Elephas maximus indicus: one gene and its partners. The protein of the gene in region 3 interacts with the protein of the main gene of each other region in a biochemical or structural test. Links are inferred from orthologs where the notes say so. Each region holds a gene or a part of one and is shown on either strand. Other genes may lie near its edges.

Region 1 (7,881 bases), on a different chromosome or scaffold from region 3:
TTGTTCTGGTTCCCGCTCGCCCCGTGACTATCCTCTCACATGCACACACATGCAAACACACGTGCGTGCATGCACACACACGCACCTTGCGAGGCCCGGGATCTGCCCCAGCCCCCCACTTCCTGCGTCGAGCAGCCCCGTCACGCCATGGTGCTTGCTCAGGGGAAGCCATGCTCCCTCTGCTGGGCCCCCTGGGGCCCGGGAGGCCCCCACTGAGCCCACGATGCCACGGAAACCCTCATTGGCCACCCCCCTCCCTGAGGGGCCTTCCCAGCTGGGAAGAGCTCAGAGCTCAGAGCTGACAGCTATGTCCTGCCGTGTCTAGGCCCCCCAGAGCCTTGGGGGTCCGGGGGGGGTGGGACTCTTCTCCCCCCACTCCCAACCTGCCCCCTTCCCACCTTTTCACTGTTGCTTTCTATGTATAGCTCCCTAGACCCTTCACTTTTTTAAAAATGCGTTTTGTGTAGAGAATAAGGAACGTCGATCTTTTTAATTTGCAATCCTGGGCCAGGTAAATACCGGGAAGGCTGATTGACCTTTTAACTTTTTCCAGTGGCAACCTTTTGGTTATCGATGTACCTAGAAGTCTGTAAATTAGATTAAATTTCTCTTCTGGAAACACACCGGGGCAGGCAGCCAGCGTGCGTGTTTCTCTTGGGTGGACAGGCTGGCTTTGGCTGCCAGCCAGGGCTGGGATTGGCCTGGGCTTCCTACTGACCACCAAGCCAACCAGGCCCAGTTGGGGACGAGCCGAGTTGCCCAGCTGGCAGCCCTCAACACCCTGGGTAGTGGGAGTCTCTGGCTGGCTGGGGGGTGACTCATGTGAGCAGAGGAGATGCTACCCAGGGCTCCAGGAGGCTGGTCTGTGCAGGGAGCCAGGGCTGGGAAGCAACTGAGGCTGGGAGGGCTTTCTAAGGGCAGGAGCTGTCCAGCAAGGGAGTGGGGGCCTATGGAGGGAGGGAGGAGCAGGAAGCAGCCAGAAGCATTCCATGGGGGGCCAGCAGGAAGGACCTGACCTGGAGACAGGTGACTTCTCTGAAGATACATGCATCCTGAGCCCTGGTGACATGAGGGAAAGAAAGGGGAGCACTGACTCCCTTGCGATGTTATTTACATGCTTGTGCTGCAGATGTTTGTTGAACATTTCTGAGATTTCAAGAGACCTCGTTAGCTGCTCCTTGTTGATCACATGCTGTTTTTAACCTCACCACTGTCGCTAAGTCCCTGGATGTTGCCGATGGTTTGTGCTGAACTCGAAACCTAAAGGTTGGTTCAAACCCACCAATCAGTGCCACGGAAGAAATGCCTGGAGATCTGTTACCACTAAGATTACAGCCAAGAAAACCCTATGGAGCAGTTCTCTGTAACATTTGGACTCACCGTGAGTCAGAATTGACTCCACATCAACCAACAACAATCCCTCCTACAGTCAGCTATTGGAGATGTCTGTTGTTGGCTACCTTCAAGTCACCCATGACTCCTGGGAACCCCATGCACAAAGAAATGAAGCACTGCCTGGTCCTGCAGCACTTCCATGATGGGTTGCAGTTTGGATCATGGTGATCCACAGGGTTTTCAATGGCTGATTTCCTAAAGTTGATTGCCAGGCCTTTATTCCTAGTCTGTCTTAGGAAGCTCTGCTGAAATCTGTTCAGTATCATAGCAACACGCAAGCCTCCACTGATGGATGCTTGGTGGCTGCGTATGAGGTGCATTGGTCAGGAATCCAACCCGGGTCTCCTGCGTGGAAGGTGAGGAGTCTACCATTGATCCACCAATCCCCTGGAGATGGCTGACTGCAGTGTTACCTGTTTGTGTCCTGCCTGACTCTACTGGATTTTTTTATTCGAAAGAGCTGAATACAGTCCTTGCCATAGAGGGATCTTTTCCTAAAACATTTCTGAACACATCCCTTCTCTGCTTAAGCAATACTATTCTCTCTCTCAATGGTCTATGAGGGCCGTGGGTGTTAAATCAATAACAGATGGGGTGAAATGAGGGCCGGGGCAGCCAGTGCTGTGAGTGACGCTCTAGGACCCAGGAGAGGTGCTCTAAGCCTTAGTTTTGGAGACCAGGTAAGCATCCCTTAGGGGTGACACGGAGGGGAACCCCAAAGCTGGAGTACACGTCAGTCAGAGTGTTGTGTGCTGCTTCTGTGGTTTCTCACTTAACGCATCAAAACCTTGCCCCACATGGCCGCAAGTCCTGTCTGCCTAAGCCCCAATTTGAGGGGAGGATTTTTTTTTTTTGTCAAAATATTACAAAACATGCCATCTCGACCATTTCTACGTGTTATACTGATTGCATTCTGCAAGTTGTGCCAGTGTTCTTGCTATGCTTTTCCAAATCACTCCACCACCATGAACATAAACCCAATGTCCCCTAAGCAAAAATTCTCCCTTTGTCCCTTCCCCTGGTAACCAATAATAATCTTCGGTTTCTATATATTTTTTATGTAAGTGAGATCACACAGTATTTTTCCTTTTGCAACTGATTTAGCATGATGTTTTCAAGGCTCATCATCTATGTTGTGGCGTGCATCAGGACTTCTGTATGGCTGAGTAATATTCCATTGTGTGTGTACACCGCATTGTGTTAATCCATTTAACTGTCGATGGACATTTGGGTTGTTTCCACCTTTTGGCTGTTGTGAAAAGTGCTGCGATGAACATTGGTGTATGGGGAGTTGCTTTTTTAAAAAGATTTTATCATGGAGAATTCCAGTCATACAAAAGTAGCGAGAACAGTAAAATAAATCTGCATCTACTCATCGATTTTCAACTCATGACCAATCTCTTCAGCTATATCCCCTCCCTCCCCAACCCTGTTCCCCTTCTCTGTCCCCTCCTTTCCCCCCTGAATTATGGTGGAGCACATCCTGACCACCAGATCAATTAATTTGCTAATGTGAGTGTTTCAGTATGTTTCTTTAAGGTATATGGATTCCAAAACAATGCCATTATTACAGTTAAAAGTCCCTGGGTGGTGCAGACAGCGAGCAAACTCAGCTGCTAACAGAAAGGTTGAATGTTCAAGGCCACCCAGCGGGTTCCTCAGAAGAAAAGCCTTCTGAAAAGTCAGCCATTGGAAACACTGTGGAGCACATTTATACTCTGACACACATGGGGCTGCCGTGAGTCAGAGATGACAGTAACTGATTTTTTATTACACCTAAAAAATTGATGACAATCCTTAACTTCAAAAAGTAGGTCGGCAACAGGACACTTTAAAAAAAAAAAAAAAAAAACGTTTTAAGTGAAGCACAGCAAAAAGCATACAGGTCCTAACTCTACAGCTGGATGCATTTTCACAAACACACACACACACACTACGTGTTTGCCTTCTTGTCTGTCAAATTGACTCTTAGAAATTATTAGATGTCCCTGGCAGTGGTTTCAACACTTTCAGAGAGAGTGTTGAGGACAAGGCAGGCACCTGGCTGCACTATTGCAGAATCACTAAAGTCCAGAGTGAACCATGAGGGCTTTAGAGGCAAAGTTCCACCTTTAACAGTCAAGTATCAAGGGCCTTGAGCAAGGCATGAATTCTAAGATCCAGTTTTCTTATCTTTTAAATGGGGAATAAAAATAGCTCCTGGAGGGTTTGGAGGGAGTAGATGAGATGATGAACAATACAATTAATGTTTATTACATATAATATGCATGTGTACTATGTTATAGTGGTTGTAGTTGCCCTTGAGCCGATTCCGACTCGTGGTGACCCCATGTGTGTATGGCGACCCCACGTGTGCGGAGTAGAACTACTCCATAGAATTTCCAAGGCCGTGACCTTTCAGAAGCAGATCGCCAGTCCTGTCTTCTGAGGTGCCTCTGGGTGAGTTTGAACAATCAATCTTTCGGCTAGTAAACCAAAACAAACCAAGCTCATTGCCTTGGAGTCGATTCCAACTCAGAGCGACCCTATAGGACAGAGTAGAACTGCCCCATATGGCTTCCTAGGAGCAGCTGGTGGGTCTGAATTCGAACTACCCACTTTTTGGTTAGCAGCCGGGTTCTTAACCATTGCCCCACCAGGGCCCCTTTAGATCAGTAGTGGAGCTTAAGCGCTGTTTGTGCCCCCCAGGGACTCTATATATACTGTGTAACTATACAAATAAGTAAAGATTAATTACAAAATGCAACATTTGATGCACCAGGCCTTGTACTGATTTTATTGCCGTTTTTCAAGTGTACGATTTAGTGACATCAATTACATTAATCATGTTGTACAACGTGAACTGATTTCTTTATACATGATCACATTTAACGTTTGATCGTGGATCCAGCGCCGTGGCTGGCGCTTAGTCGTAATTTTTCCCATTCCTGCACGGCTTCACCATGTTCATTCCTGAGCTGAAGTTCAGATACCCAGGTTTGCACATCATATACGGTCGCTATGAGTCATAATTGACTCACTGGCAACGGTTTTTTTTTTTTTTTTAATGGGTGGCAGAGCAAGGGACCTGAGCTGTTCCTGCACGGGAACCCCGGCTCCCTCTGGCGGGCCTCTAGGGCACAATCGCGCGTCCTGCTCGGCCAAGCTTGGGCCTTCGGCCTTTCCGTAGCCAACAGCTTCGCCCCCGTCGAGCCCCACAGGAACCTACCTCTACCCCTGCCACCCCATCTAGACCAATCACCGCAGGGGTAGAACGACGGAGGGGCGGGAGTAGGGCGGGGCTCTCTGGATTGGCCTCATCTTCAGCCCCTGGCAGGACGACACTCCGAGATAGACAGGGCGATTCTCCAATAGATGTGAAGTCCGAAGCAGGCGCACACCAATGCGGTCCGGAGGCGGGGCTCGGCTGTGGGTAAAAGGGGCTCGGGGGACTGTGGCCACTATCGCGGCGTCGGGCTCGCGGAGCAGCTGTCGAGGAGCCGGGCGTAGTGTTCGCCGGCGCCATGAGCTACACAGGTACATCCCTGCGGGGCGGCGCCGGGCCCCAGATGGGAGCGGCAGGGGAATGTGGCGGGGCCACGCCGGGTTCTCCCGTGCTTCCCCGGCCAGGTCACTGTCCGTTCTGCGGCCACAAAATGGCGCCGCGAGTCCGTCGCCTCAGGTCGCGCCCGGTACGCCTCGGCCCCTTGGTTCTCTGTGCTCCCAGCCTCGCGTCCCGGGCACTGGCCGCCTGAGGCCACGGCTCCTGCAGTCATGTCCGGGGGCCCCCGGTCCTCGGCTCCTGAGGTTCCTCTCCCACCAGCCCCAGCCGCCTCGGCGCCTTAGGTCGCCGCTTCTCAGGCCTCGGGCCTTAAAACCAGTGAGCAGTCCCGTCCGCTGTCGCCATTGTCGGGCTCTCCTCCGCGTTGTATCCCCGCAAAATGCCTCAGCGCACCGCCCCCCCACCCCCCATTGCGTGTTTAGGGGCTGGGAGAGGTGCCAGGCCCTGGAGGAAAAAATGAATACCTGAAAGGTTTGAGCTGGGACGGAGCCCTCGGGCCGGGCCAAAGCCTTGTGGGGGAGGAAGGGTTGGCTGCCACAACGATATATTCAGCATCTGTTAAATTTGCTGTGTTTGTGCTTAATACTCGTTGCTTTCGAGTAGATGCCGACTTATGGCGACCCCATGTGTTTCAATAGAATTGCTCCATAGGCTTTTCAGTGGATGTGTGACCTTTCAGAAGCAGATTACCAGGCCTTTCTTTCAAGGCGCCTCTGGGTAGGTTTGAACCACCAACATTTTTGGTTAGTTAGAGAAGGGCTTAACCGTTTGGGCCACTCAGGTTGTTCCAAAGAACAAAAAACAGTTGTTGAGTGTACCCTGACACGTGGTGACCTCATTCACGTGTACAGAGTAGAACTGCTTCATGGGGTTTTTAATGGCTAATTTTTCAGAAACAGATCGCCAGGACTTTCTTCTGATGTGCCTCTGGGTGGACTTGAGCAGCCAGCCTTTTGGCTAATAGTCGATTGTTTACTCATTTCCATCACTTGGAAATCTATTGGTGTCACATAGGCACTGAGAATGTGGACAAAAATCTACCCAGCAGCTGATAGGCGAGGGGCAGATCTCAGTAGGCGAAACTATTCATCTGGGGGAGGACAGTCCATGGGAAGGCTAGAGACATTTGTGGAGAGGTGATATGTGGAGAGGGGGCATGAGACTGTCTGGCCCAGGGAGCTGTTGGTGGAGAAGCACGGGCAGAAGTGTGCTCGGCGTGTTTGATGCTCAGCCAAGGAACCAGTGGCATTGGAACAAAGAAGGGGGTGGGTGAGACTCTCTGCAGGGGGCCACAGGATATGCTTGAGTGATTGCAAAACTCTAGGTGATGCCCAGAGGCCTCTTGAGTGTGCCTTGGCAGCGACAGATGCAGCTTCTTACCCAGGAGCCGTAGATGGGGGTGTCAAAAGCTTGAGTGTGCGTGGTTGCTGGGTAACCTGCATTCTACTCAGCAAGAGCAGAGCTGAGAAGGGGCCCGGGCCTCCAGAGCGCCACTGCAGGCTGCTTCATGCTGACCTAGGCAGAAAGGCTGATGGTTTGAGTCCACCTAGAGGTTCCTCAGAAGAAAGTCCTGGTGGTCTGCTTCCAAAACACCAGCCGTTGAGAGCTCTGTGGAGACAGTTATACTCTGACACACATGGGGTCGCTATGAACAGGGGTTGACTCCATAGCAACTGGTTGGGCAAAAAGGCAGTGCCAGTCCTTCCGCTGTGGCTCCCAGATCAGGAGTTTGGCAAGATCCCTAATTTTTCTAGCAACCGTCCCCTAGTCCAGTAGTTCTCAACCAGGGGTGCTACTGCCCCTGGGGACATTTTGCAATGTCTGGATACATTTTTGAGTGTCACCACTGGGGGTGGATACTCTACTGGCATCTAGTGGGTAGGGGCCAGAAGAAGAAAAAAAAAAAAAAAAACTAGTTGCTATCAAGTTTACTCTGACCCAGGGTGACCCCTTGTGTGTCAGAGTAGATCTGTATTCCATAATGTTTTCAATGGCTGATGCTACAGAAGTAGGTCGCCAGGTTTTTCTTCTGGGTAGATTTGAACCGCCAATCTTTCAGTTAGTAGCTGAGCACTTAACTGTTTGTACCACCCGGGGATAGCCAGGAATGCTACTAAATGTCCAGCACTACATAGGACAGCTTCCCATGGCAATGCCAGTAGAGTCGAGCATTTCTTGTCGCTTATAATTCTCTTGACCAAGTTTTCCTGAGAACGGAAGCCAGTTCTGTGGTTTTTACGGGCAGGATTGCTGAAGAAACCCAAGATGAGTGGTTAGGTGCTGTGGAGTAGCTACTTATTTTTATAGGAGAGGGATCTTGGCTATAGAGGGCCAGCAATTTCTGACTGAGGTCTTATTGCCACTAATGACCAAGCCTGAATTTCATCTCCACATCTCATAGGCTGTAATTCTAGCTTTGGGTGGGCACTTGGGTACTAAAACCAAAAACCCATTGCCGTTGAGTCCATTCCGACTCGTAGTGACCCCATAGGACAGAGTACTAAGGAAAAAATGATTAGTTTTTCCTTGATTTTGGCAAACTAAAAGCCATGGTAGCTTTATAATGTCTTTCCCTTTTAAGAAGCAGACTACAAAAGTCAAAGGCATTTTAAAGTCATGTTCCAGACAATATTTGCCTTTAAGGATAACTTTTGGCGGCCCTGAGGCAAATGTTACCATTATTAAGCATAGACGATGATTCAAATTTATCTTTGTGTTAACTCTTGCTTTTTGAACTCAGTTACTTTGTTTATGTTTGGTGCACTAAGCAAGGGGCACAGTGGGTACATCCCACCTTCACTGCTAACTGCTTAGTAAGGGCCAGCATGAATTCAATTCCCAAAGCTTAGAAATGGATCCAGTCCTCACCTTCCTACTCTTCCATCCTCATTGCCAGCTGCTCATGTGACACACTTTTTCTGACCCTAGCCACCTGGAGCTGGGTC
Region 2 (7,224 bases), on a different chromosome or scaffold from region 3:
GCTTTCACATACATATGAGGTAATTGAAAATACCAAGGCTTGAGTCAGGTGTAAGTTAGTTCTCAGAGTGACATTTTTAACTTTTGAAAGAGGTCTTTTGCAACAGATTTGCCCAAGGCGACACGTCATGTGATTTCCTGACTGCTGCGTCCATGGGTGTTGATTGTGGATCCAAGTAAAATGAAACCCTTGACTTCAATCTTTTCTCCATTTATCATGATGTTGCTTATTGCTCCAGAATAACATGGTCAGTACCCAGCTGTTATTCTAATTGCAGTAGGAAGCCACTGGAGGGCTCTAAGAAGAGGGGTGATGTGATCTGACTTACGTTTTTGACTGATCTCTCTGATGCTGGTGAAGAACAGAGTATGGGCGTGGGGCATGAACATGAGTAGAAGTAAGGAGACCACGTGAGGCTCCTGCAGTGGTTTAGGTGACAGACAGTGGTAGCTGGAAGCAGGGCACTGGAAGTCCCTAGAGTCTGAGAAAAGGAAGCACATTCACATTACAGCCTGGAATTGGAGAAAGAGCTTAGGCATTAGAGCGACACAGACCTGGACTAGACACCTCTGTGGGCCTTTGACTCATGATCTGAAAACAGGAATAAAAATGCCTGATTCGCAAGATTGTCATGAGGAATAAGTCAGATATAAAGTCTTTAGCAGAATCCCCCACCCCACCCACATAACTGGCCTCAAAAGGGTATACCAGGTCTGCAATCCCAAACTCCAAATAGTTCTGATAACTAGGGGTTTTTGTTTGTTTATTGTTAATTTATTCATTTTGGTAGGTTTGGAGCTACCTGTGTTGACCTGAACAGTCATGAGCCATTTAGAGTCTCTATTATACTTTGTTACCTATATAACTTGTCACTGCAGAAATACTAATATGTTTTATTATGAGGTACCGCCCCAAATCCCTCCAAGGGCATTCTATAATAAGTAGTATTTACACTGCATTGCCTTTCTAAAATCCAAAAATCTCTGAATTCTGGAACAAATCTGGCCCAAGGGTTTTGAATAAGGGACTGTGAACTGCACCATTATTTTCAGGAACCAACGTGTCATTTAGTTAGTCACGACCATGAGGCCACATATCCAGCTGAAGGGGTCACAGATCTCAGAACTGCAGTGACAAGAGAGCCCCTGGCAATTATACTCTAAAGTCCTATAGAATGCTCCAAATCCTCAGTACAACCAGTTTGAACATGCGTGAACACATGAATGTATATGTAAACTAATAAAGTGCTGCACTGGTATGTTTGAAACAGTACTTTTGAGTTTGGAAGCAAGGAAATAGGTTTCTTTTTAATTATCTTTGACAAATCTGGTTTTAATTCTATGTTATCATTTTCAGAAAGGAGATCTCCACCATACTGACTAACAAATATTATCTGTCCCTCTTATTCATGTCCAGAAGTTTCTTTGGCTATGCCCACCTTCCCTGCCAGCAAACTGGGAGCCCTCCGTAGACCAGACCACCTCCAGAGTCTGCACAATGCTTGGCCTATAACATGCATTCAAATAATACCTAATTAATAAATGACTAAACTACAGGTTGAGTGTTATGGATCTTCTGGTTCAAAGAGGCAAAATGAAGAACAAGAGTATAATCTGTCCAAGATTAAATAGTTTCTAACTGACAGCTGAGAGTGTATCTTTTAGCTTCCATTCTGGCAAGGTGTTCTTAGCACTAAGGAGAACATGAGCAAGAGGATATCTCATTATTCTGGAATTCAAAAGAGAACTGATGAGTTACCATTCATTTAACAAATATTTATTGAGCATCTATTATGTACCTGGCACTGAGGTTATGCCAGTGAAAAAAACACATAAGTCCCTGCTCTTGTGGACTTATTTACTAGTAGAGGAACAGATAATAAACTTATAATAAGTATCAGAGTGTGATAAGTTCTATGGTGAAAAACAAAGCAGAGTAAGGGAGACAGAAGAGTAAGAGTGACAGAGTAAGCCAGCAGGAGAGAGAGGGGGATAAGACGGGCAGGGTGGTGGTGTTTTCATACAGTGTTCAGGGAAGGCCTCTCTGACAAGGTGGCATTTGAGGAAGCACAGGATGAAGCTAGGAGCTGGTCCATGCAGGTATGGGGCGGGGAGGGGCGAAAGCGGAAACAGTGCAAAGACCCAAACGCAGCAGTGTAACAGCGAGGACGCTGTGTGGAGGGAGCGAGAGGGCTCGTTTGTGGGCCCTGACAAGGCCTGAAGACAGGATTCTTATGAGAAGGGAAGCCAGTGGGGGAGTACCTGGCAGGTGAGAGTTGGCTCTGATTTACAGAACACTCTGATAGCGGTGTTGAGAAGAGGTAGCGGGTCAGGTAGAGGCGGAGCAGGTGCCGGGCTAGCGGGTGGGACACCACCGTGACTGTCTAAGCAGGAGATTTCTACCCACGGACTATTAATCAAGCTGTGGCTACTTCAGGCCTCCACACATTCCCCATGTCAAGTCGTTGGGCCTATCCTCACCCCCTCCGCCGGCCTGGGAGCGATGTATGAATCGCTCTGATAAAAATTCTCACCGCGCTCCACGACCCTCAGCCCACATCCGGGAAGGGCCCCGCACAACCGCGGCGGGGCTCTGACCGCTCTCCCGGCGCTGGCTCCGGGGGCCTCGTACCAGGGTCTGCATTCCCGGCGGGGTCGCGGGATCGGCGCGCGCCTCCGCCCAGCCGCCGGGCCGGGCCGCCGGGCCGGGCCCCCCGCCTGTCCCCGCGCTCGCCCCGCTGTCCGCCTGCCCGGCCGCCCCCGCGCTCGCCCCGTGCCCGCTGCTCCGGCCTTACCGCCTGACGACTCCGCTCAGCCCGCGCTGCTGCTGTCCGCTGAAGCTCTGCGGTGTCTGAACAGCTTGCTCTCAGTTTCGTTTTCCCGGCGAACCCCGCCTTCCTCTGCGGCGGCCTAGCCAGCCGCGTGCCCGCACACGTCCGCATGAGTTCCGGGCTGGGGGAGATTGGCGCCTCCACCCGCAGGCTTGCGGGGGACGCCGCGGGGCGGGCTGGGCAGCAGGGGCAGCCCCAGTGTGGAGAGAAGGCCTCCAGGCAAAGGGGAGGACGCAAGGTCCCCAGGCGCCAGCAGCGGTGCCAGGCACTCGTCTGGGATCAGAGATCCCAGTTAACTCCTCCACGCAAACATTTTGGCTGGCTTTGGTGGCGGTGGGCAAGTGGATATTATCAGCTCCATTTTACAGTAGAAGAAACTGTAAATTAACACCCCGGGGTCCTGCCGCTGGTAAGTGGCGACGCCAGAGTGCAATTCAAATCCAGGCCAGTAAACCTCAAAGCACCCCTTTCCAACACTACTGGCTCTCTCTCATGCCTACAAAGCTGGAAATGAAGAGGCCTGGGGACATAATTTCCCTTCAGTCTGTTTCCACTCATCCTTCCAGGGACTGATTACCCGATATGCAAGGTAAGCACATGTTTAGGATGTCAACAAAACAGGGGCACCAGGTGTCCAAAGCAAAGACCCGTAGATGCCAAGCGACAGGACATACAGAAAAGCGAGCGCAGCAGTGGAAGGGAACCAGCAGGGCGCCAGCTCCAGGGCATGAGACTGTGCCAGTCAGTTCACACAGCGTCATGAGGGAGCCGCACACGTGGCAAGGCTGTTTAAATTATGAGGTTTCGTTTTGTTTTTGTTTTTGTTCCACTTAAACACCTTCTTGACATCTTTCTCTTTCAGAAGCAGTTGGGTTTTTTCCTACTGTTCAGTTACCCTATACATTCTTTGTCACCTCTACTCACTGATGGGCGATTCTTAAAACATATTTAGGCGATGATGGAGTATTAAAATGTCTTTCTAATACGCATTGGGAAGCACATGCTGTAGCAACAGGTACAATCTTGGAATCGTACATTTATATTCTAGACGCTTTAGAAAATATTGCTGAAGACTAGACACAAAAAGGAGCTACCAAAAGAGAAGCTGAAACATTGCTAACAAAATGCAAACCCAGGCATACTTCCTTGTATTGCGCTTCTCAGATATAGCATTTTTTTTTTTTTTTTACAAATTAAAAGTTCGTAGCAACACAGCATTGAGCAAGTCTGTCGCCACCATTTTTCCAATAGCACGTGCTCACTTTGCGTCTCTGTGTCACATTTTGGTAATTCTTGCAATATTTCAAACTTCTTCATTATTTTATATCTGTTATGATGGTCTTTGATGTTACTAGTGTAATTGTTTTGGGGTGCTACCATCTGTACCCATATAAGATGGCGAACTTAATGGATAAATGTTGTGTGCTCTCCACCAGCCATTACCCATCTCTCCCTCTCCTCAGGCCTTCCTATTCCCTAAGACTTGACAATATTGAAATTAGGCCAATTAATAACCCTACAGTGGCCTCTAAGTGTTCAAGCGAAAGGAAGATTCAGATGTCTCTCACTTTAAATCAAAAGCTAGAAATGATCAAGCTTAGTGAGGAAGGCATGTTGAAAGCTGAGATAGGCCAAAAACTAGGCCTCTTGCACCAAACAGTCAAGTTATGAATGCAAAGGAAAAGTTCTTGAAGGAGATTAAAAGTGCTACTCCAATATCCAGACACCTTGAGGGACTAAGTTGCTGGGGCTGGGGCTGGAGACCATGGTCTCGGGGGACATCTAGGTCAATCGGTATAACACAGTTCATAAAGAAAATGTTCTACATCCTACTTTGGTGAGTAGCGTCTGGGTCTTAAAAGCTTGTGAGCAGTAATCTATTGGTCCTATCCCATCCAGAGCAAAGGAAAATGAGAAAAAAAAACAAAAAACAAAGACACAAGGAAAATATTAACCCAAAGGATGAAAGGACCACATGAACCAAAATCTCCACCAGCCTGAGCCCAGAAGAACTAGATGGTGCCCAGCTACCACCAGCAACCACTCTGACAGGGATCACAACAGAGAGTTCCGGACACAGTGGAGAGAAAAGTGTGGAACAAAATTCAAACCCATGAAAAAAGACCAGACTTACTGGTCTGACAGACACTGGAGGAGCCTCCAAGACTACGGCCCCTGGACACTCTGTTAACTCAGAACTGAGACAACTCCTGAAGCCCACTTTTCAGACAAAGATTAAACCAAAAACCAAACTTGTTGCCATTGAGTCGATTCTGACTCATAGCGACCCTGTAGGACAGAGTAGAACTACCCCATACGGTTTCCAAGGAGCACCTGGTGGATTTGAACTGCTGACCTTTTTTTGGTAAGCAGCTGTAGCTCTTAGATTAGACAGGCCTATAAAACAAACAATAACATATGTAAGGAACGTGCTTCTTAGTTCAGATACCTGAGACCAAATGGGCAACACCAGTCCAAAAGCAAGATGAGAAGGCAGAAAGGGACAAAAAAAACGGACAAATAACACAAGGAACCCGAGGTGGAAAGGGGGAAAGTGTTGTCACTTGTGACAAAACATCAGAATGTCACAAAACAATATATGTATACATTTTTGAATAAGGACCTGAAATGAGCTGTAAACTTTCAGCTAAAGCATACACACACACACACACACACACAAAAACTCTCTAAAGCTAAAAAAGAAAATAACCGCCCCCCCCCCCCAAAAAAGTGCTACTCCAGTGAACACATGAAGGCGAAACAGCCTTATTGCTGATATGGAGAAAGTTTTAGTGGTCTGGATAGAAGAGCAAACCAGCCACAAAATTCCCTTAAGCCAAAGCCTAATCCAGAGCAAGGCCCTAACTCTCTTCAATTCTATGGAGGCTGAGAGAGGTGAGGAAGCTGCAGAAGAAAAGTCTGAAGCTAGCAGAGGTTGGTTCATGGGTTTAAGGAAAGAAGCCATTTCCATAACATAAAAGTGCAAGGTGAAGCAGCAAAGACTGTTGAAGAAGCTGCAGCAAGTTATCCAGAAGACCTAGCTAAGATAATTGATGAAGGCGGCGACACTAAACAACAGATTTTCAGTGTCGACATAGCAGCCTTGTATTGGAAGAAGATGCCCTATAGGACTTCCATAGCTAGAGAGGAGAAGCCAACGCTTGGCTTCAAAGCATAAAAGGGCAGGCTGACATTTTTGTTAGGGGCTAAAGCAGCTGGTGACTTTAAGTTGAAGCCAATATTCTTTTACCATTCTGAAAATCCTAGGGCCCTTAAGAATTATGCTAAGTCAACTCAGCCTGTGCTTTATAATGGAACAACAAAGCCTGGATGACAGCACATCTGTTTACAACATGGTTTACTAATATTTTAAGTCCACTGTTGAGACCTACTGCTCAGAAAAAAAGATTCCTTTTGAAATATTACTGCTCATTGACAATGCACCTGGTCACCCAAGAGCTCTGATGAATATGTACAAGGAGATTAATGTTATTTTCATGTCTGCTAACGAAACATCCATTCTGCAGCCTATGGATCAAAGAGTAATTTTGACATTCAGGTCTTATTACTTAAGAAATGTATTTCATAAGGCTGTATAGCTGCTCTAGATAGTGATTCCTAAGATGGATCTGGGCAAAGTAAATTGAAAACCTTCTGGAAAGGATTCTCCATTCTAGATGCCATTAAGAACATTCATGATTCATGGAAGGAGATCAAAATATCAACATTAACAGGAGTTTGGAAGAAGTTGATTCCAACCCCTGGATGACTTTGAGGGGTTCAAGACTTCAGTGGAGGAAGTAAGTAACTACAGATGTGGTGGATATAGCAAGAGAACTAGAATGAGAAATGGAACCTGAAGATGTGACTGAATTGCTGTAATCTCATAAAACTTTAGTGGTTGCGGAGCTGTTTCTTATGGATAAGCAAAGAAAGTGATTTCTGAAGATGGAATCTGCTACTGGTGTAGATGCTGTGACCATTGTTGAAAACAAAGGATTTAGACTGTTACATAGACTTAGTAAAGCAGCAGCAGGGTTTGAGAGGGTTGTCTTCAGTTTTGAAAGTTCTACTGTTGCAAAACTGTTGTGGCTCCTATAGGACAGAGTAAAACTGCTCCATAGGGTTTCCAGGGAGTGGCTATTGGATTCGAACTGTTGACCTTTTGGTTAGCAGCCAAGCTCTTAACTACTGCACCACCAGGGATCCTAATAGACTAAAAAGAAAAAAAAGACTACAGTATAAACATAACTCTTATTTTTATTGTGATTTAGGTGGAAGTTTATAGCTCAAGTTAATTTCTTATACAAAAATTTATACACATATTGTTATGTGACATTAGTTGCAATCCCTATAATGTGACAGCACACTCCCCCTTTCTACCCCAGCTTTCT
Region 3 (7,244 bases):
TTAATGACATTAACTGGAAAGTTTATGAGACGCTACAAGACATAAACTTTGTAATTTTAACTACATAAAAAGTATATATGCATAAATCAAGACTGAAAAGAAACACTTCAAAATGGCTACCTTTGGGTGACTGACTTTTTTGTATCTTTAAAAAAAAAAAAAAATACCTCTATGGAATGTTCTACTTTCTACAACAATCACCTTATGTATTTTAACTCAATTTTCATTACGAATGATAGCTAGGGTAGACACTATTATATAAATACCATAATTGCTTTTAAACAGAGAAAATAACTAGGGCTTAGAAAAGTCAAGCAACTTTTCCAAGACACCCACTGTGGCGTCCTAAACGCAAACCCAAACTACTATATTTAAGAAATCAATCATATCGTATATAAAACAAACGGCTTGCTACCATTCTGATATGACTGCTAACAGATTACCTTCAAGGGTGTAAGATACACATATGTGTATGTGTACATGTATATAAAGTCCAAATACAGTCAGTATTCAGTAAATGTTTACATGCCTCCGAAGTGTCCCTCATGTCCACTCTTAGCTCTAAAATTGCCTCATCACTTCAATCCTTCTGAAGCCCAATGTTCAAAGTGCTCCCACGTAACTCACTTCTGTTCCTAAGATACTTGTACCAAATATCAAAATTAAAAAAAAAAAAAAAATTGCTTAACGCATTAGAGAGATAACTGAACGAATCCTTTTTCATACTCTAACAATGGAAACAATGTAAGGAACACTATCAGGGAGCAGTCGACCTTTTAATTTTCCCTTTGCCAAGTGCATAAATGCTTGCTATTACTTATAAATTGCTAAATATCCTCTGGTTGCCTCTCATTACTTTGTTTAAAAAAAAAAAAAAAAAGTCTGTTGTCTGAATGTAAGGGGGCAGAGTACCAAATGTGTCCTTCAGGCCTTGTTACTTGATGATGAAGTTTTCCTGAATTGTATCAAGACATTGGAACAAGCATCATACTTGCTGGCACTCCCCCTGCACCCCAGATTATTGGCACCTGAATCTGAATTACAAGCAAGATATGAGTCTGTATTTAGAACCAGAGAAAATATCCTATGATTTGTTTGCTGTGAGGAGAAATCTCTACTACCAGTGTTAAACTAAACCTCTGTCTTCTGTTCATGCTTGGTACATCTGTTAACACCTAAATCTAATGTAATCAAACCAGACCTTGGTGTAAGGTTAGATTTATTCTGTGGCCACAGGGTAATCCTGATCAGTCATTTGGTGAAGGGCCACCCTACTCGAAAAGCTGAATATACCTAGCTGTACATTCCACCCGAGATTAATTTAAAAAACAAGCCCTCAGGGTGGCTCGGTATCATGAAATAGAAGGACTACACTACCAAATTCCTTTCTTCCTAGATAGTCTCATCTAACCCCAAGATATTCAATACCAACTATATGCTAATGATGCCCAAATATGTACCGAAAGCTCAGTCCAAAACCATAATTCATCCAACTGCAGTATTAACATACTCATTTGAATGCTTACTTTGCAACCCAAGAGGAAAAACCGAATTTTAAATTTCCTCCCCAAACTTGTCTCTATCTTTCCTTCCCATTTCCATAACGGCACCATCATCCACCTCTTTCATCACAATCTAGGAGTCATCCACTCCTCAGGAGTATCCACAGCAACCCCTTTGAAAGCCCTTACTATGTGCCACAGTATCTTAGAGGATCATCTTCATGAATTTATATAATCCTACAGAACTGCTACTGCTACGAGTCGGAATCGACTCAAGGGCAATGTTTTTTTTAAAAAACAGCTCTAGAACCTTGGTGGCACGGTGGTTAAGAGCTCGGCTGCTAACCAAAAGGTCGGCAGTTCAAATTCACCAGGTGCTCTTTGGAAACGCTATGGGGCAGTTCTTCGGGTCTCTAAGCGTCGGAATCGACTTCCCAATGGGATTTTTTTTTTAATCATTATTCCCCTTTTACAGGCGAAGACACTAACACAAAGGATAACTTACCCTAGAAAACACAACTAGTAATTGGAGCAGCCAGAATACCAAGCAAGGTTGGCAGTCTGACTCCAGATGTGCCATCTGCCACCGTTATGCAATTCTGCCTCCAAAATGTCTCCAACCCATTCGCTTCTCTCCATCTTTCCCTGCCAGCACGATTGCACACCCAGAGTACTGCAATAGAGTCTTAAAATGGCTTCCTTTTCCAGTGTTGCTAAAATCTATTCTTAAATCCTTCTCGCCACACTCCAGTTACGTGGCCTTTCTTTTTTCAGCCCCTTTCCAATTTCTGGCTTTACGGCTAACTAATCCCTTCTGCAGCTCTGCTTTGCCTCCGCATCTCGATGACGCATTCTCGGCCTTCAGTTATCAGCTCAAAAGTCCACTTCGTCCGAGACCCATTTCCCTGCCACACTATCTCAAGCAGCTCTCTGCCTTTACACTCTGATTACTATTTTTTACAAAAGCCTGCAAATACTCATTTTTGTATCGCCTGCCCCTCCCCGCAACCTCTCGAGGGAAAGGCAAGGATTCTAACTTGCTTACTGCTCCATGAGAGTGCCTGTAGGATAGCAACGAATATTTGCGGCACGAATGAATGGCGCTAGGCCTTGCCTGGGGTCTCCGCCGGCTAAGAAGTAGACAAGTCACCCCCCTCTCCCTTAGCGGCACAGCGCCACCACCGGCGTTCGAAGGCTGATGGAGGAAGCGGGGGTTGCGCGTTAGAGGCTGAAGGGAGAGCTGGGCGGAGGACTAGCGGCCCACAGCGCGGCCTCGAACTGCGCAAGCGCGCCTCAGCGAGCAGCGCACACAATCCGCAATCCGGGGACTCGCAGGGCCGTTCGTCCCTTCCCCCACCCGCCGCCGCCACCCGCGCTACGCAACAAAGCCAGGCTGCAGTGCCGCAGGGCCTCTGGGCCAGCCGCCCCGCAGAGTGGAAAGGATGGGAAGTGTATCTTCTCCTTACCAGTCTTCGCCTTCTGGTGCCCGAGAGCACAGCGCGCTTAGGGCTGCCCGTAACTCCGGCCTTCCACAGAGACGCCTGCAGAGCGCACCCCAACCAGCATGGAGACGGCGGCGAAATGGCTCCGACCGTCGCGAGAGGGGCGGGGTTAGTGCACGCACGCATGCGCAGAGGGCGAGCGTGGGGGCGGGACGCCCGGGTGGGGGCGGGGCGGGACGCCCGGGTGGGGGCGGGGCGGGACGCCCGGGTGGGGGCGGGGCGGGACGCCCGGGTGGGGGCGGGGCGGGACGCCCGGGTGGGGGCGGGGCGGGCCTGCTGCAGCCTCGCGCGGCGTTCATCTTACCGCCTGGGAGCTTGCTGCGCTTAGGGCGCCATTGCATAGCTGCTAGTTTTAATGCTTTTGAATATTTTAGGGAGGGGACGGCGGGAGGTGTTTAGCTTTTTAATGCAACAAGATGTTTCCCAGTTTATGTGATAAGGGCCTCTGGTGAGAGAGACGCCCTTCTTAGACAGAACTGGAAATTTTAGTGTTTATTTCATTGGACTGTAGTGATTAAATAAGAAGACAAAGGACGAGGCTTAACTCAGTACCTGGCACATACGTATAAAAAATAGGGGCTCAATAAATGGTAATGAAAGTTACTAGTGATTCAGATACTCTGAATGTGAACATCCCCTGAGAAGGAAATAAGCTCTATGAAAGCTGGGACCTTCATTCATACGACCCAAATGAATAAAACCAACACGGCTTAAATTGAATATCCTCTTGTCTTTACAGTCGTTAGAATAATTTATATCCTTAACTACATAAAACCCAAACCAACCCACTGCCATCAGTAGATTCTGACTCATAGCGACACTATAGGGCAGAGTAGAAATGCCCCAAGGGATTTCCAAGATTTTAAATCTTTACGGAAGCCAACTGCCTGCCCCATCTTTCTCCCGCTGAGCGGCCAGCAGGTGGGTTCAAACCATCGACCTTTTTGGTTAGCAGCCAACTGCTTTAACCACTTCACCACCAGGGCTCCTCTTGACTAGATACAAAAAAAAAAAAAAAAAAAGGCCCATTGCTGTGGAGTGGATTCCATTCACAGAGACCCTATAGGACAGGGTAGAACTGCCCCATAAAGTTTCCAAAGAGCAGCTGTGGATTCAAATTGCCAACCTTTTGGCTAACAGCCAAGACTCTTAACCATTACACCACTCATGAAGGCAACAATACAAAGTATTTTTTTTTTTTTTTGCTGGGGTTGTTCTGGAGACTACAGACCAATCAATAATACGAGAGCATCATACCTATCCATCCTTATTTTTCACCTCTTTCATGACATTTTTTCTCTTAACCCTTCTAGTTTATAGTGATCAATTCCTTCTTTAAAACTCTCTTGCACTTACAATCAGAACAATACAGTTTAGCATTTATTCATCCTTTTATTTTCCTTATGTGAATTGAGAATCAAATCATTGAAAGACCTTAATCTTTTCTTTCTTTTGTATCCTTCAGCGTGCTTAAGCTGCAGGTGTTATTGATACTTATTTATGCTCTTAATAAGGAATCAACAAGCATAGATGGATTGCAAGTGTTTTGTAGTAGATAATGAACACAGCAAAAGTGCCAACATATTTCATTAAGTGCAAATAAAATTTTCAGAAGTGGATCTTTAACTTTCAGGGATTAAGGAGAATTTTGTTATTGACTTGGTTCTTAGTTTAGGCTTTGCACCTGAGACCCAGAGCTCCCCAGGGACTGGATCCCATAACTGGCATTACCATTGTAGGTTGCCCTGGCAACTGGCACCTTCTAAGATCTTCATTTGCAGATGAAACCTGAAAGCACTCAACTGGCCCAGAAGTCCAGAGAGTGGCTGGATTTACACTTAGATGTTCTATCTAGGAGACTGCAGAGATTAGCAAAGCAGGGTAGGAATTTTTTTTTTTTTTTAGCTTATAAGAAAATAAGTAACGTTCTTGCTACCTAAGAGTTTGGAACTGAGGCCACAGGTCAAATAATGAGAGGTCTGTTTCAACTGGACCACTTAACATTTCACATTTACCTTTCTGGCTAGAAATAAGTTTAGAAACATTGACTTCATTCCTAAGTTTGGTAGATGCAAGGCGTAGTTTATCCCTTGCACTAACAATTCAGTGTTTGGTCCTGGTTCCAAAGAGGCCTGAGGCCAGTGAGTGGAGGCTGATCAAACCAAGAGGAACTGCTTGAGGACCTGATGCTGACTAAACCTCAGGAGGCATGAACAAGCAATTTTCAGAAGAGGAAAACCAAAAGGTTACCAAGTGTACTCAAGGTGGTCAAAAACATCAGTAACAATAAAAATGCAACTAAAACAATATCACAACCTGCCCATTAAAAACTAAAATTAGAAAAGTGAACAACGTCAAGTGTTGGTGGTGACATGGGGACTGTTCTGCACATAGAGCTTTCAACTATACACAGGCCAAGCTGAAGGAACTCACTCAATAATTCATTTCGTTAATCCTGGACCATCTAGTTTTTTTTTATTGAAGTATAATTTAGACACAGCTGATAAGTGGTGGCGCTGGGCCTTACATTCCCTCAGCCTGGATCTAAGGCCATACTTACAACCATGAAGCAATTCTACCTCCCATACAACCATTTTATACTGTTTGCCACCTTGTACCATACTGAAGCTGATTCTTTGTATCAGGAGGTCCCTGGGTTTATATCTTAAGGATAACATTGGCTAAGAGGTATTGTTAAAGACACATAGTAAGTGGACATAAGGTTTTGAGATTCTTGATGTAAAATAGTCTGGTGTCACTCAGTTAAGCTCCAAATTCTGGCTCTGCCACAGACCATATGTAACTCCACTCAAGATATTTAACCTCTCTTTGTCATGGTTACCTCATTTTAAAAATGGAAAGATGCTATATCGTTATCACTTCTAAAACCTCAAAAACATTTTTGTATCTCTGGAATTAGATGGCATGTTATGCTTTGTCAGTGTTTTTTCCTTTCTTAGAGGTATGTAAAATAACGGTGTTTTACAATCAATAGCATCTTAGATTTGATGAAATATCAGTACTACACCATAAAGTAATTCTTCTTGTTGTGTGCCATTGAGTTGACTCCAGCTCATAGCCACCCTATAGGTTTCAGGAGAACTGCCCCATTGAGTTTCTCTCACTGAGCCACAGGTAGGTTTGAACCACCAACTTTTTGGTTAGCAGCCAAGAGCTCAACCATTGTGCTACAAGGGCTCCTTATAAAGTAATTATAACAAATGAATATTTTACACCCTCACATATACCAAAAAAACCAAACCCATTGCCATCGAGTTGATTCTGACTCTCAGGGACCCTACAGGGCAGAGGAGAACTGTCCCATAGGGTTTCCAAGGAGCTGCTGGTGGATTTGTACTACCAACCTTTTAGTTAGCAGCTGTAACTCTTAACCACTGTGCCACCAGGCACTTTCACATATGTGATAAATATTAGTCTTTACACCTTACACATGTGATATTCTTTTATACATGTTAAATATTTAATCAAAAATACTTTAAAAGGTGGGAAAGCTTATTCAAGGATACATGGGCAAGCCTCTGCTTTCTCCCCAAGGATGAAGATGTAGCTCTGATGATGTTGAGTTGGTTGAAGAATCAATATAGCCTTATATTTTTAAATATTCCATTAAAACACATAAATTTTTAGGGCAAGTCCTTTGTTTTTTTAATGTTTTTTTTGTTGAGAATATACACAGCAAAGCATATACCAATTCAACAGTTTCTACATGTACAATTCAGTGACATTGATTACATTCTTTGAGTTGCACAACCATTCTTACCCTCCTTTTCTGAGTGGTTCCTCCCCCATTAACCTAAAATTACTACTCCCTAAATTTCCTAATCTTTTGAGCAGTTGTTGTCAATTTAATCCCATAGAGGTCTTAAAAGAACAGAATGGTCAAGGCAGACATCCTTCACTAGTTAAGCTAAACTATTGTTTGGTTTTAAGACTTCAGTGGTTATTTTTGGTTTAAGGTTTAAAGATTATCTCAGGGTAACAGTTTCAGGGGTTCATCCAGCCTTTATGGCTCCAGAAAGACTAGATTCCATGAAAATTTTAAATTCTGTTCTGCATTTCCTCCCTTTTGATCAGGATTTTTCTATAGAATCTTTGAACAAAACATTCAGTAATGGTAGCTGGGCACCATCTAGTTCTTCTGGTCTCATGGCAAAGGAGGCAGTTGTTCATGAAAACAATTGGTCACACTTTCCATTTCTTCCTCCTATTCCTGAACTTC

The links.
Region 1: the proteins of DHX9 (region 3) and AKAP8L form a complex in vitro, tested with the Homo sapiens proteins (2 studies listed by BioGRID). The link is inferred for Elephas maximus indicus from reciprocal best matches to the Homo sapiens genes DHX9 and AKAP8L.
Region 2: the proteins of DHX9 (region 3) and EIF2AK2 form a complex in vitro, tested with the Homo sapiens proteins (2 studies listed by BioGRID, with this or other methods). The link is inferred for Elephas maximus indicus from reciprocal best matches to the Homo sapiens genes DHX9 and EIF2AK2.

Annotation. Positions count from the first base shown.
Region 1 is NC_064821.1:35,593,985-35,601,865, reverse strand, and holds the start of AKAP8L (A-kinase anchor protein 8-like), read left to right. Parts: upstream 1-4,792; 5' UTR 4,793-4,898; coding exon 4,899-4,911; intron 4,912-7,881. UniProt on the Homo sapiens protein: Could play a role in constitutive transport element (CTE)-mediated gene expression by association with DHX9. Increases CTE-dependent nuclear unspliced mRNA export.
Region 2 is NC_064844.1:27,163,451-27,170,674, reverse strand, and holds the start of EIF2AK2 (interferon-induced, double-stranded RNA-activated protein kinase), read right to left. Parts: upstream 3,093-7,224; 5' UTR 2,795-3,092; intron 482-2,794; exon of another isoform or gene 329-481; intron 1-328.
Region 3 is NC_064842.1:46,178,601-46,185,844, reverse strand, and holds the start of DHX9 (ATP-dependent RNA helicase A), read right to left. Parts: upstream 3,099-7,244; 5' UTR 2,969-3,098; intron 1-2,968. UniProt on the Homo sapiens protein: Multifunctional ATP-dependent nucleic acid helicase that unwinds DNA and RNA in a 3' to 5' direction and that plays important roles in many processes, such as DNA replication, transcriptional activation, post-transcriptional RNA regulation, mRNA translation and RNA-mediated gene silencing.